Linked DNA regions of Drosophila melanogaster. Changing the gene in region 1 together with any one later gene gives a genetic interaction. Each region holds a gene or a part of one and is shown on either strand. Other genes may lie near its edges.

The links. Genes that interact genetically often act in the same process or in processes that back each other up.
Region 2: of HDAC6 (region 1) and Kat60, changing one suppresses a phenotype caused by changing the other (phenotypic suppression), as found in Drosophila melanogaster (one study listed by BioGRID).

What each region holds. Positions count from the first base shown.
Region 1 is NC_004354.4:15,332,698-15,340,504, forward strand, and holds HDAC6 (histone deacetylase 6), read left to right. Parts: upstream 1-1,780; 5' UTR 1,781-1,953; coding exon of another isoform or gene 1,954-1,977; 5' UTR 1,978-2,259; coding exon 2,260-2,571; exon of another isoform or gene 2,572-2,652; coding exon 2,653-2,783; exon of another isoform or gene 2,784-2,848; coding exon 2,849-3,032; exon of another isoform or gene 3,033-3,274; intron 3,275-3,592; coding exon 3,593-3,864; intron 3,865-3,917; coding exon 3,918-5,325; intron 5,326-5,374; coding exon 5,375-6,007; intron 6,008-6,139; coding exon 6,140-6,227; coding exon of another isoform or gene 6,228-6,277; exon of another isoform or gene 6,278-6,395; intron 6,396-6,929; coding exon 6,930-7,318; coding exon of another isoform or gene 7,319-7,471; 3' UTR 7,472-7,663; downstream 7,664-7,807. Other genes in the region: CG9114 (uncharacterized protein), read right to left, coding at 1-245.
Region 2 is NT_033777.3:5,226,789-5,233,991, forward strand, and holds Kat60 (katanin 60), read right to left. Parts: upstream 5,422-7,203; 5' UTR 5,281-5,421; coding exon 5,269-5,280; intron 4,526-5,268; coding exon 4,205-4,525; intron 3,838-4,204; coding exon 3,234-3,837; intron 3,041-3,233; coding exon 2,919-3,040; intron 2,049-2,918; coding exon 1,489-2,048; intron 1,403-1,488; coding exon 1,204-1,402; 3' UTR 501-1,203; downstream 1-500. Other genes in the region: Vps37B (vacuolar protein sorting 37B), read left to right, coding at 1-126; Mms19, read left to right, coding at 5,854-5,938, 6,003-6,386, 6,597-6,946, 7,005-7,203.

The DNA.
Region 1 (7,807 bases):
AGAAAGGGACAAACCGGTCCGTCGTAGGCCTCCAGTTGGGTGGCTATTTGCTTTAGTTTCGTGACCTTCAAATCGATGTAGTGCACCAGATCCTTGCGCCGGAATTCGTAGAACTTTAGGTTTCTCGCTAAAACCAATGTAGTGGGGTCATCCCGCGGTCGGCCCACGTGAAGATTGGCGCAGAAGGCCAACCGGGCCGGCTGGAGCAGCATCTCCGGCACATTCTCCTGGACAAACGGCAGCATGGATGCGGAAGCCACAAGATGGATGTGGCGCCCTTGACTCGAAAGCCCTTCGAATCGATAGCTATTGAATTCAAGTAGTAGTTATCGATGCGGTGAACGATATTAGGCTATTTTGAAATGGAAAAACCAATATTAATCGAGTTTCGAATGCTCCTTTTAGCGAGAGGTAAGTCTTTAACACCGCATAAACACAATCAGTGTTGCCTAACCAATCTGTGCCCTCCACTTTCTCTCATAATCAAGCAATTTCTCATAAAAAACGCACATCGATAAGCTGATAACGTTGGCCCTCGACTAACACCGATTATTCAACAAGTTGTGTCAATCGGCGGAGCAGCTGATCGTTGTAAGTAGCAAGAAGAAGACGCCACACAAACATTGCACTCCGCTCCGCCCGCGCGTTCTCATTTCCCATCTCTCTCACTCTGTCTCTCGCGCTCACCGTCTCTCTCTCTCGCTCCGCCTCGCAACCCCCACAGCGCTCCACAAACCGGGCCCCACATTCTTGTGTGTGATTTCTGGTTCAGGTTCTGATTTCCCGCGTGTCCTTGTGTGTGTGCGCGCTGCAGTGTCTGTGTATCTGTTACTGTTGCTGCATCTTCTGCATCAACTGCAACGTTACCAAAAATCAAAAGACAATCGCCTGCAAAAGCTTAATTTTGTTGCTCAGTGTTTTAAGTATTAGCTGTTTGCAAGCAGCACACACACGTAAGAAACAACAAGAACAACGATAAAAGACAACAACACAAATGCAGAGCATTTGAAGCGCAAACACACACAAGCATTCGGTGCGGCTGTAAGAGCGAGACACAAAATAAGGCTAATTTATAAAAGAAAAGTGTGCTGCAAGGAATCGATAAATAACGGGAGTCGAGGAGCGGAATAGGAGTAACCAATAAATATAAATACTGTAAATGCGATATTAAAAAGCGACAACAACAACAAAAAGCAGCTGTGAATCACTCCGTCCCGCTCCCCCGCGCTTTCAGTCACTCCAGTTGCTCCACTTCCATATATATTCGGATTTGGACTCCGATTCGGATACGGATTTCGCTTGGTTCGATTCTGTTTTCTTCGGATCGGTTTAGCTTTGCTTGCCAACTCGAAATCCCACAAACATGGTGAGTACTGGCAGATTATTGCCGCCGTTTTCGAGTTGTTTTGGCCAAAAGCGGCAGTGGCAACCAAACAGCAACACCCACACACCACACACACACGTACAGTGCAAGCTTCTTGGCCAGGTTTTGAGCTCCTCCATCGCCGCAGTTCCAATCCGAACTTCGTGGTAAACAGTTGTCCGCTGAAAACGCAGTGCAGCCTCCGCGTGAAGAACGCTCTGAATATACGGTTTCAAAGTCCTAAGAGGTTGTTTATATGAGTCTAAGTACAGCTACAAGATATATTTAAGCTATGCTTTTCGAAACTATCGTGTAGTTGTTCCAAATACAGTGAAACCTCAATGTTCGGTTTTTGAAGTTAAAAAGAAATATAAACATATATTTGAAGTTTACAAACTGTACAGTATTAATTTGAGCAATAAACCCAACAGTCCAGATTTGAAGTTTTTTTGACATGTTTCAAATTTTTAATATTCTAGCATAGTGTAACGTAAAACATGATTAAATGTTTAGCAACAGCAAAAAAACTACATTTTTGCAAATAGTAAACAAAATTTTAAGCAGTTAACCGAAAAAGTTACAGACCATAGATGTTACGCGATATTTGGATACAGGTTTTAATCCAGATTAGTTGCAATCCAGATTCCTAAAGTCCTATGTCAATCGCCGTAATCTTCGATTGAAAAAGGCCGAGAGTTGCTTTTTTATGTGGTAACATTGGTAAAATCTTTCATGCCATTCCACATATGGTTGTTTGGAAAGGGTTAGGTAACTGGATTCTTGAGCACTTGTCTCACCCCAGTGGGCAATCAAATTCGCCTGTGGGAGCAGCACTGGCGATCCATCTGTGCATGAATCCCCGCCAGAAGCTGCGTTGTGTGTCTACCTAGCGGGAAATGCTTACTAAAGATTTAAATTCGTTTTCGCAGAGCCCGCCCATCGTCACGCGACGGAGTGCGCAGCAGGCAAAGATTCAGACACGGGCAATGGCCAGTAAATCGAAGACGGGCACGACAGGGGCGGCGACGGCGGCCGGCGGCACCGGCAGCAGCAGCGGCAGTATCAGCGGCGGATTTAATGCCGCCGATCCGCGAAAGTCGAACAAACCGAACGCAGCGCTCTTGGAGGCGAAACGTCGAGCTCGGAACAACATGCTCAAGAATCAGGGCTGCGGATCGCAGGAGAGCGTCACGGATATATTCCAGAATGTGAGTGCTATCTGACTGACCTCTATCCTCTGTCCTTGTGCAATCCTAACCAAGTGATATTTAATCGTCGCCGACGAAAAGGCTGTCAACAGCAAGAGTCTGGTGCGGAAACCAACGGCACTGATCTACGATGAGTCCATGAGCCAGCACTGTTGCCTGTGGGACAAGGAGCACTACGAGTGTCCCGAGCGCTTCACACGAGTCCTGGAACGGTGAGTATATTTGAAGAAAACGGTACAAATTAAGCTGATATGTATTCCCTAATCTCCTCATCCAGCTGTCGCGAACTAAATCTGACGGAGCGCTGCCTGGAGTTGCCCTCGAGATCGGCGACCAAGGATGAAATTCTGCGCCTGCACACAGAGGAGCACTTCGAGCGGCTGAAGGAGACGTCCGGGATTCGCGATGACGAGCGCATGGAGGAGCTGAGCTCCCGCTACGATTCAATTTACATTCATCCGGTGAGCAAGCGCATCCAACGGGGAACATGGAACAGTGCATCCCAGTGCCTGGCTCCAAATTAGCTCATTTTATTGTATTTGCACTTGATTGCTTGCGGAGATTGCGTTGTTTTTAATTCGACGGCTTGATAAATGCAAATTGGAGCAGATTAGATTAGATGCGACCCATTGCACAGGTACAGTGCGGTGCATAAATGTAAATGGTTGAGTGACTGGCATAAATTATGCAAATGATTATACCTCCGAACTTAAAATGCATTTATTCCCCGATTGTAATTCTAATATGTCTATTCTTGTTGTGATATTCATTATCTTTATATTGCGTGCAATCTTTATTTAGTTTGCTCAAACTTTAGTTATTAATTATTACGACTGCCCGCAGCTTTTATTACTTTATATTTCATTAGCTAAATCCTCCAGCAATCTGAAGCGCACTGTAAATTCGTTAAAATGGGCTGGTACTCATACTATTACATCCTAGATAAGATTCCCGCTGTTTTACTAGCACCGAACTTGTTATATATAGAACACTGATAACCTTATCCGCCTCCCACCCGCAGTCCACATTCGAGCTCTCCCTGCTGGCCAGCGGCTCCACCATCGAATTGGTGGACCATCTGGTCGCCGGAAAGGCGCAGAATGGCATGGCCATCATCCGGCCACCGGGTCACCATGCGATGAAGGCCGAGTACAACGGTTATTGCTTCTTCAACAACGTGGCACTGGCCACCCAGCACGCCCTCGATGTTCACAAGCTGCAGCGCATCCTGATCATCGACTACGATGTGCATCATGGGCAGGGAACCCAGCGGTTCTTCTACAACGATCCCAGGTAAAGTTGGCAATATATGTTTAGTATTCTCATTCATCGTGTGTGTGTTTCAGGGTGGTTTACTTCTCCATCCATCGCTTCGAGCACGGAAGCTTCTGGCCGCATCTGCACGAGTCGGATTACCACGCCATTGGATCGGGAGCGGGCACGGGATACAACTTCAATGTGCCGTTGAATGCGACGGGTATGACCAATGGCGATTACCTGGCCATTTTCCAGCAGCTGCTGCTGCCGGTGGCCCTGGAATTCCAGCCGGAGCTGATCATCGTTTCGGCTGGCTATGATGCGGCGCTGGGCTGTCCGGAGGGTGAGATGGAGGTGACGCCGGCCTGCTATCCGCACCTGCTGAATCCGCTGCTGCGACTGGCCGATGCCCGGGTGGCCGTCGTTCTGGAGGGCGGCTACTGCCTGGACTCGCTGGCCGAGGGTGCGGCCCTAACCCTGCGCTCCCTGCTCGGCGATCCTTGTCCGCCGCTGGTGGAGACAGTGCCACTGCCGCGTGCGGAACTCGCCCAGGCCCTGCTCAGCTGCATTGCCGTGCACCGACCCCACTGGCGATGTCTGCAGCTCCAGCAGACCTACGATTGCGTCGAATTGCAGGATCGGGATAAGGAAGAGGATCTGCACACGGTACTGCGCCATTGGATTGGTGGACCACCGCCTATGGATCGTTACCCTACGCGCGATACGGCCATTCCGCTGCCGCCGGAAAAGCTGACCAGCAATGCCGCTCGTCTGCAGGTGCTGCGCGCGGAGACGAAGCTATCGGTGCCGTCGTTTAAGGTGTGTTATGCCTACGATGCCCAAATGCTTCTGCACTGCAATCTCAATGATACGGGGCATCCGGAGCAGCCGTCGCGCATCCAGCACATCCACAAGATGCACGACGACTACGGTCTGCTGAAGCAGATGAAGCAACTGTCCCCCAGGGCGGCCACCACAGACGAGGTGTGCCTGGCCCACACTCGCGCCCATGTGAATACAGTGCGTCGATTGCTGGGCCGCGAGCCGAAGGAACTGCATGACGCTGCTGGGATCTACAACTCGGTGTATCTGCATCCGCGCACCTTCGATTGCGCCACCCTGGCCGCCGGTTTAGTGCTGCAGGCGGTGGACAGTGTGCTGCGTGGCGAGTCCCGCAGCGGCATCTGCAACGTCCGTCCGCCGGGCCATCATGCCGAGCAGGATCATCCGCACGGCTTCTGCATTTTCAACAATGTGGCCATTGCGGCGCAGTATGCCATTCGGGATTTCGGTCTGGAGCGTGTGCTGATCGTCGACTGGGACGTCCATCACGGCAATGGGACGCAGCACATTTTCGAGTCCAATCCCAAGGTGCTCTACATCAGCTTACATCGCTACGAGCACGGCTCCTTCTTCCCGAAGGGACCCGATGGCAATTTCGATGTGGTGGGCAAGGGAGCCGGCAGGGGCTTCAATGTGAACATACCCTGGAACAAGGTGGGTTTTTGCACACTTACGGGCCCAACTCATTCCACTCACTTTGCAGAAGGGCATGGGTGACCTGGAGTACGCACTGGCCTTCCAGCAGCTGATCATGCCCATTGCGTACGAGTTCAATCCGCAGCTGGTGTTGGTATCCGCCGGATTCGATGCTGCCATCGGCGATCCCTTGGGCGGATGCAAGGTGACGGCCGAGGGCTACGGCATGCTCACCCACTGGCTGTCGGCTTTGGCCAGCGGCCGGATAATCGTTTGCCTGGAAGGTGGCTACAATGTGAACTCCATTTCGTACGCGATGACCATGTGCACCAAGACGCTGCTGGGTGATCCCGTGCCGACGCCCCAGCTGGGAGCCACGGCGCTGCAGAAGCCACCAACGGTGGCCTTCCAGAGCTGTGTGGAATCGCTGCAGCAGTGCCTGCAGGTGCAGCGCAACCACTGGCGCTCGCTGGAGTTCGTCGGACGGCGGCTGCCGCGGGATCCCGTTGTGGGCGAGAACAACAACGAGGATTTTCTTACCGCCTCCTTGCGACACTTGAATATCTCAAATGACGATGCTACGGCTGCGGCGGGCGGACTCGCCGGCGATCGTCCCGACTGCGGCGATGAGCGGCCCAGCGGGAGCAAGCCCAAAGTCAAGGTAAAAACGCTCAGCGACTACTTGGCGGAGAACAAGGAGGTACGAGGACAGCACTGCGCTTATCCCTCAGCTGGCAACTAATCGCTTCTTTTCGTGCCTTTCTTCATCTCGATCCCATGCCCTGCAATCTCTGCCCCTCGATCCCGTTCCCGATCCCCATTCGCGTGTCAGGCCCTCGAGCAGAGTGAGATGTTCGCCGTGTATCCGCTCAAGACGTGTCCGCACTTGAGGCTCCTACGTCCGGAGGAGGCGCCCCGATGTAAGCCAATGCAGTCCGGAGAAGATTCCCTCCCCTTTTGGTCAAGATAATAGCACTTCTTAAGTGTGAACAAGTTGTCAAGAAAAATTCAGTTATTGAATCTCTTTGTATCTTTGTATTTGTATGCTGTGACCCATAAAAATAATTGGAAAAATGGTTTTATGACTCAAGTTAAGTCTTCAATAACGTATTTAACATTTTATATAAATGGGGAAGTTGTTTGAAATGCATATAGTGAAATACCCTATAAATCTGAAAAAATCGGGAAATACTTTACAGGAAGTGCTATTATTTTGACCAATTTTAAGGACTCTTCTTTCTTATAATGTTCATCGTTTTCTTTGCTTTTTGTGCTTAAAATTAGCAATTGGCTATTTTTCTAAATTACTTATAACTGCTTAATGGTTTATGTGCATATGGCATGCAATCTTTTTGTGCTTGGCGGCTGTTTTTTCTTTCAGTATCCTTGCGTTTATTGCATTTTTTGAAAAGGTTTTTTGCTTCAATCCTTACGTTTTAGCAATGTAACTTTGGGTTTTAACCAAAAATCTGCCGTGTGATTTGCTTTTATCTAACTTTATCTTAGTTTAAAACTTTAGAACATTTGATATATCGCCTGCATGTGAACAGCTTCTTGAGCTATACGCTACTCAATCCTGACACAACTAACATACTTTCTCAACGATTTCCCATCCAAATCAGCACTAGACAGCGGAGCGGAGTGCAGCGTTTGCGGATCGACGGGGGAGAACTGGGTGTGCCTGAGCTGCAGGCATGTGGCCTGCGGTCGCTATGTGAACGCCCACATGGAGCAGCATTCAGTGGAGGAGCAGCATCCGCTGGCGATGAGCACGGCTGACCTGTCTGTGTGGTGCTACGCGTGCTCCGCGTACGTGGACCATCCCCGCCTGTATGCCTACCTCAATCCGCTGCACGAGGACAAGTTCCAGGAACCGATGGCCTGGACACATGGGTGTGCGTGGCGCGAGGATGGCTGCTATGCGACGGGGCCCGATGGGCGAGATGAGGATGACGATGATGATAATGGCGCCGGTAGCAGCATTTGCCTGCGACTGGAGCGCAACAACTGACCCTTAGCCATCCGCGTGCTGGACGCCCTCACGGACTACTTGTGCGCGCTCTGCCCGCCACTAAGGCACCTAATCCATTTCCTGGCCGAGCACCTCTGGCCGCTGCTGGAGCGCATTTACCTTAACCTGTTGCACTACTTCCTGGCCCACTGAGCACCCCATATCCAATCCTCTAGCCCGCACCCACAACTGATCTGAAAACTGCTGCAACTGGCAGCCGGTCGGTCATCCCCTGGAGATCCTGGCACCAGTCACCATACCATTTATACAAATGCAAATTGTTAAAGTTATCAACTAATGATCTAATAAATAATTCAAGTGTTTTTTGAGTTTATTTTCGAATACAGTTTCTAGTTTCGTTAATGAGATCGAACTTCTTAAGTTCAGAGGTATTTATTCATAATTCTGTTCATCCCAGCCAAATCGACAGTTCATCCACGGTTTTATTTAATCTATATTTCTAGATTAACTCAATATTTGTTGAGTCAT
Region 2 (7,203 bases), on another chromosome or scaffold:
AATACTTCTCTGCCAGCCTACGGAAACGTGCCCTCCAGCGGATTCTATCCCGCGTCTGGGGGCTCCGCCCCTTACCCAATCATGGGTCCCCTGATGCCCATGCCACCGCCATCCAGACCGTACTGAGGTCTTGGTCCTTGGTCCTTGGTCCTCAGCGAATTAACTGCCATGGCGCATCAGTCTGCAGCAGGCAAGTTTGTACATTTGGTAAGCGGTGAACGAAGGGTGCTTTCATCAGATAAACGTTCTTGGATTTCATAATAAAGTGCTTTTCCCTGACTCTTGATTTCTAGAAAAGATTAATTACCGCTGTGTCATACAAATGCAACATCCGCTTAGTATCTAGATATAAATTCTCTTTGGGGATCACAGCATTTTCGTAACAGTGATTTAATTGTAATAATAATCAAATCATAACATCATCAGCATCATTTGCAAGACCTTTATCCTTATTTATCCTTGCAGAAAGCACCCAAAAAAGTCACAACTCTTAATGCCGTAAAGTTAAAAACTTCTTTATTGTTTAAAATTTCAGAATCCTCTCTTTAAGTACATATTGCTTCAGTTTCATCTTCTGATTACAGTGGGTTAATTGCAAATCAGAGGGAACTTTCTGGTACACACATCTCTGCCTGCACTAAACTATGATATATATGTATATGTGAAAGTATAAATTAAGCGAAAATTAACATTAATATTAGACAGTGGACATTTCTTGTTAAAATAAAAACTTTCGATAAAAAATGATACGGATTGGAGTGTGCATATTGTGGGAGTATGAGGCCAAGGCTAGGCGGCGATTAAAGCGATTCCTTATTGCATATAGTGTGATTGTGGGTTAACGATTTGTTGGAAGGTTTGTGCTCATGGAGTGTGTGGGTGGTTTTCGCTATGTATACATAAACGTATTGCCTATCTCTCGACTTCATTGCAATTCAATTTCAATTTCAGTTTTCCATTTGTGTTTCCTCTTTGAGAGCGGTTAGTCTTTTCTAATTCCAACGGCCTCCGGTTCAATGTATATATGTAAATATATAGATTGTATCGTATTTGCAAAATGTTATATATAAAATATGTTCAACTCTTCCGTTCGGCTCGGATCGGTTCGGTTCTCACTTTAAAAGCTTAATGACTTAAGCGCGTGTTTAAGGCTATTCAAAAATATACTCCTACAATCGCTAGCCATTCGCGTCTGCAGCGCCATCATGACGATCCGAACTCCCTCATCCACTTCTCGTACTTGTCCAGGTCTGCCCGGGACACGCTCTTGTTGCAGCGACTCATGGCCTCGTTGAAATCCTTGTTGGAAACGGGCAAATCCACCTCTTCCGTAGCCAACTGCCGAATCTGCTCTGGGGTCAGTCCTGCGATCTTTCTCCGCATCGACATCATGCTGGCCTCCCTGGAAAAAGAAGAGCACGCATTTTATTCCATTGACATGATTTGGAACTGACTACGCCATTTTAAATTAGTGTATTCTGAACTCACCTGCACACGTTTGTGATGTCAGCTCCGGAATATCCCTTCAGCTCGTTGGCTACGTAGGTAAGATCGACGCTATCGTCCACCTTGACCTCGCGGAGATTGATCTTGAGCAGCGCCTCGCGACCTTCATCCGATGGCAGTGGGATGTAAATGCGTTTTTCCAAACGACGCCGAAGCGCTTCATCGATGTCCCAAGGAAAGTTGGTGGCGGCCAGCACCATGACCACCTTGGCCTGTTCCTCTCCGCCGCCCACGCCGTCCATTTGGACCAGCAGCTCAGACTTCACTCGTCGCGAGGCCTCGTGCTCTGATTCCGATCCTCGGCGCGAGCACAGGGAGTCGATCTCGTCGATGAAAATTGTGCTGGGCGCGTAGAACCTGGCCATCTCGAACAGGAGCCGCACCATCTTTTCCGACTCACCTCGGTACTTGGACGTCAGCGTGGCCGAGCTCACGTTGAAGAACGTAGTTCCGCATTCGGTTGCCACCGCCTTGGCGAGCATTGTCTTGCCCGTGCCTGGAGGTCCCACCATTAACACGCCCTTCCACGGTCGCCGGATACCCTGTTGTAGAAAGCAAGAAGTGATTATGTACTTTTGCTTTAAAATGTTTACAAACTTTCAGTATATATTAATTGTATACTTTCCGATTGTTTTGATCTGAACCACTGTTTTAGGCTGTGTCATTTGCCTAATTCTAATTAATTAAATAATCTACATTGGAGAAGTGAGTACCATTTCTTCCAATCAAACATAAATATCTAATTATCTACTATCCACGTTAAGTCTATCTTTCTTGCTATTGTTTATTCAGTAAGATGGTAAATCGAAAAATGGTGCTGTAGGCTTCTCTGATGCCCATTTCAAACATCTTTCGCCCACGCAAAATTTCATGGTATCCACATTTTAGATGGGGAAAATATTTGTTGGACGGAAATATTTGAAAACAACAAATATTCTTACATATATGGTACAACACGGTCAACATAGCAATCGAGCTCAGTCTCAGGTGTTTGGATCAGTGATTTTTAATGTGACTTAAAGGCGTTAGAAACACATGGTCAGCATTCCATATATATACATAATATATACATAATTATTTATTTTTTTTCGACAGGTTATTATGGATCGATATTCTTTTGAACGCACACATAGTTTGATAAGATAACATAGATAGAGGTACATCATAATCAGCATAATTTCAACAATGGAAACTTTTAAACCGCCCCAAGTAAAAGTAGAATGTGTTGACAAGTTCCACCACCTAGTTAAGAGGGATAAAGCTGCAAGGCGATGCATTTCGTGACAGTTCAGAATAGTTGATCAAATACACATTGCCCTGAGCACTATAATAAAGCGCGTTTGTTGACCCATCGCGAGATAAGCGTTTGGCAGAATGTGATTCACAGAAAACAAACAGCGGGGGTGACGCACCTTGAAGTAGTCCGGCATGAGCATTGGCAGCACGACGGCCTCCTCCAGCAACCGCTTGGCGTCGTGCAGGTCGGCAATGTCGCTCCAGCGCACTTTGGGATCCTTTTGAAGAATATCACGTTCTGAAAAGAGAGCGTTGGCATGTAATAAATGTAGCTATACTAGACCCAAATTTTCATAACTACTACCATTTTTGAAATAGCCACAAATCTTAAAGCAAGTAGAGTAATGCATTAGCTTTGCTTAATAAATAAGACTAGCACATCACCAAATTTTGAACGAGGCAAACCTTGCGGCAACGATTTAGGCACCTACCAAGAATGTCGACTAGCTCGGCTTCGATGTGGTTGTTGGGCTGAAACTTGCGCTCTTCCTCTTGGGCGGCCTGCGGATCGCCGTTTTCTCCATCGCCAGCCGCTCCGCCATTGTTGCCTGCAGCGGTGGAGTCGTCGTCCCTAGCCTCGTTGGTGTTCGATGTGGATAGCTTGCGACCGCCAGCCCTTCCATTGGTGGTGCGTGCTCCGCCGCTCGGTGCTGTGGCGGACGTTGAGTTGCGGGAATTGCGTGTCGAGGCCGGACCATTCCGGGCAGTGCTCTGCGGGATTGTGCTGCTGGGGCGGCTGTTTTGCGTTGCCGGAGTGGTGCGGCGGTTGTTCGGTGCGGCTCTTCGGCCAACGGCCTGAGTGGTGGGTGGTGGCTTCGGCGGACCCCACACATCTGGATCCTTGGGCGGAGGCGTCCAAATGTCGGGGTCCGGCTTGAACCAGGCAGATGGATCTTTACTGGTGGTGCTTTCTTCGCTGAGCTGGTGTCGCAGCTTGTGTGCAAATTTGGTTGACTGTAGGTCCAGCGAGATGTCTTGTAGGGTTCTCTGAATGGCCTTGATTTTGGCGTGCTCCTGGCTAATCTGCTGGTTGATCTGCAAATCGAAGATCAGTTAGTTAAATGATGTCAATGAAATCGTCCGGTATGGTAAATATTAAACTTTTTGAAAATACTTGGTTTATTATGATCTATTGGAGTTTTAGCCAGTTACTTTGTGCCAGTAGTGCTAGAAATTACTTTGTAATTCAAATTTTAGTCATTCGGTAGTGTTCTGATTAAATTAAATCTTTATATGCACGTTAACGATCTAGATAACTCGTTTACACAAAACCTCTTGGGCAATTTTGAATGGCGTTGACAAGATGTTATGACTAAGTCCTTTGTTTGTCATAACCGTCACCATTCGCATTCATTGGCATGGTAGTTGACAGTATCTGGAGGTGGTGATAGGAATGTCTTACCATGCTCCACTTGCCCTTGCGTAGCGGATCCGCGGTGGCCTTCAGCTGGCGGGCGAGCAGCCCCTGGAGGCCCTCATAGTAGATGCAGGCTGAGTCGTAGTTGCCCGTCAGAGCCATGTCCCGTGCTAATTTGGCATTCTCGCATATTTCTTCAAACGTAGTCTTGGCCATTACGGTCATTCCTACGCAAGTGGTTGTCTTTTGCTTGCCACCTCGCAGTAACTGGCGATCGGAACAGGTTGTCGTCATTGTAGCCAAAAACGAGAGACAGAGATTAGTTCCAATTAAAGCGCTCGAGTGCGTGAGTTTCTCCAAGTGTTGCTGGGTGGGAAGGGGAACAATAGAACGGAAGCGACTTCGTCATTCGCTGGCTCGCCTTGCAGGTAAAAATGGAAAGTGCGCCTCCCAGCCAGAAGCGAATAAAGTGGAAAACCCGGCGACAATTGCGAATAATAGAAGATGCCAGTGGCAACGACCCAAGTGAGCTGCTAATTATAAATTATCAGGCGCACAGCCGCCGACTTGTCACCAAATTTAAACGCAACGCGCTCCGATTTTCAATTCCGCCTCCAAGGCGGGACGTGGGCCAAATGCCGATTGGAAAATGTATTAGGTAGTTATGAGCCGAATAAGGCGTTCGACCTTGTTGGCTTTGAATGATTCTTTCAACTCGACTCAAATCGTCGTATGCAAAAAAAAAAAAAAAAACAAAAAACACAATAGTAAAAACAACAAAATTAACGCTCGCACACACACACGCACACTCAGCTCAGGTTTCAGCGGCACACAACACACACTTTCGCACACACGCACACGGGCGCACAATGGGTCGAATTAATGCGATCTAAATAGAATTTGAGTTAATTGCAAGCCTCTGGACACAGCAAACTGCACTTTGCATTCGACACTTCACCGTATTTCTTATTCTTATGCTTCTTATTTTATTTCCAGCTATGTGGGGGCGTCTGCAGCTGCAGCAACCACAAGAGCAACAACAACAGCAGCGCTGACGTCTCGCCGCCGCACACCTACAATTGCAGCTGAGCAGTTCGCGGGCGACTTACGGTTATGGACATTAGTGTACTAGCTTTGTTACGCGGCGTTCCGAGCGCAAAATGAATGCGTAAACTATTTAATTCAGAGTTTAAGGTGCTGCGGTAGCTAAAATAAACTGCTGCCTGCCTGTGTTTGTAATACTAGTGATGTGCGTGCTCTGGTGATGCGGGGCTTATCGATACATCGGCGCGGACACTTGACCACCCTGTTGCGTTCCCTGTGTGCAACAGTCGGCGACTATCGATTGTTTCCAGAGCTGCTAAAAATATATTTCTAAATTTACAACGAATTACAAGAAAATAAAAAGAAAATCTCCGTATCGTGTCTATCGATTATAAATCAATATACAATATGTAAGTATATTTTCCAGTTCTAGAATTTGTCTCCGAGCCACACATTACCATCCCTGAGCGCCACTGCAATAAAAGCTATATTAATCGCTAAAACATTTGCACTACTGTAACACCAGTCTGGCATCGCTGTGATATAGATAAGGCCAGTACGACAAGTCATCGGTTATCGGTTCTTAACATTTCGGCTTAACGTGCTTAAACTCATTTAAATTTAGACACCACTCAAGCGACGGTGCCGCAATGACAACGCCCACGCGCGCCACCCTGGAAAAGGCTCTGAAAAGCGACCAGAAGCTTGTGAATTCCGCCACACAGATAGCCAAGGGCAGGTTTACACCCGCATCCGTGTCGAATGTGCCCTTCTCATAGAGATTCTTTGTTTCCTCCAGATCTGACCGCCAAGGCATATGACATATCTGCTCTGGCCGAGGCACTGGGCTTCGCCCTGTCCTCTCCGGACATGGAGGAGCGTGTGGCCGGAACCAACTTGCTCTCCGCCGTGTTGATAGCACTGCCCCAGGATCTGCTGCAAGAGCGGCAGCTGGAGTTCCTCAGCACCTTTTACATGGACCGCCTGCGCGACCATCACAACGTAATGCCAGCCATTATCGATGGAATCGACGCCCTGGTTCACATGAAAGCTCTACCGCGCGCCCAGATTCCCCAGATTCTGCAGTCATTCTTCGAGCACACCACCTGCCAGTCGCAGACGCGGAGCGACCGCACCAAGCTGTTCCACATTTTCCAGTACTTGACGGAAAACTTCCAGGACGGTGAGCCCTGATTTCATTTTAGCATGAAAGATACATTGACATTGCTTTAATCCGATTTAAACAAGTCAGTGTGCAAAAAAGTTATAATTAGATGATTTTAACTAGTCGAACAGATATTTGCGACAATCTTAGTACCTTTTATTTCCGTTATTTTTAGAAAATATTACACAATATTACAACTCAAACAAATCAATTTTCTTCCCGATACAGAGCTGCAAGCGATGGCCGGTGACTTCGTCTACGGCCTGATCAATTCCATTGACGGCGAGCGTGACCCCCGCAACCTTGACATCATTTTCAGCTTCATGCCCGAGTTCTTGTCAACGTATCCGCTGCTGCATTTGGCCGAAGAGATGTTTGAGATCTTTGCGTGTTACTTTCCAATCGACTTTAATCCCAGCAAGCAGGATCCAGCGGCCATAACCCGTGATGAATTGTCCAAGAAGTTGACTAACTGCCTGGTAGCCAACAACGAATTCGCTGAGGGCACAGTGGTACTGGCCATAGAAAAGCTGGAGAGTGAGTTGCTGGTTGCCAAACTGGACTCCATAGAACTGCTGGCAAGAAAACGTAACATTTTGAAATGCCTCTTTTTATACATGCTATTTATTGTTACAGCACCAAGCTGCCGTGAAGTTCCCGCCTTCCGTTCTGGAGCCGCACTTCGATCAGATATGGCAGGCTCTGAAAACAGAGACTTTTCCAGGAAATGACAATGAGGAGATACTGAAAGCTTCCCTTAAGGCGTTGTCTGCGCTCCTGGAGAGAGCTGCTCACATACCGGATATAAGCCACAGCTACCAGAGCTCTATTCTGG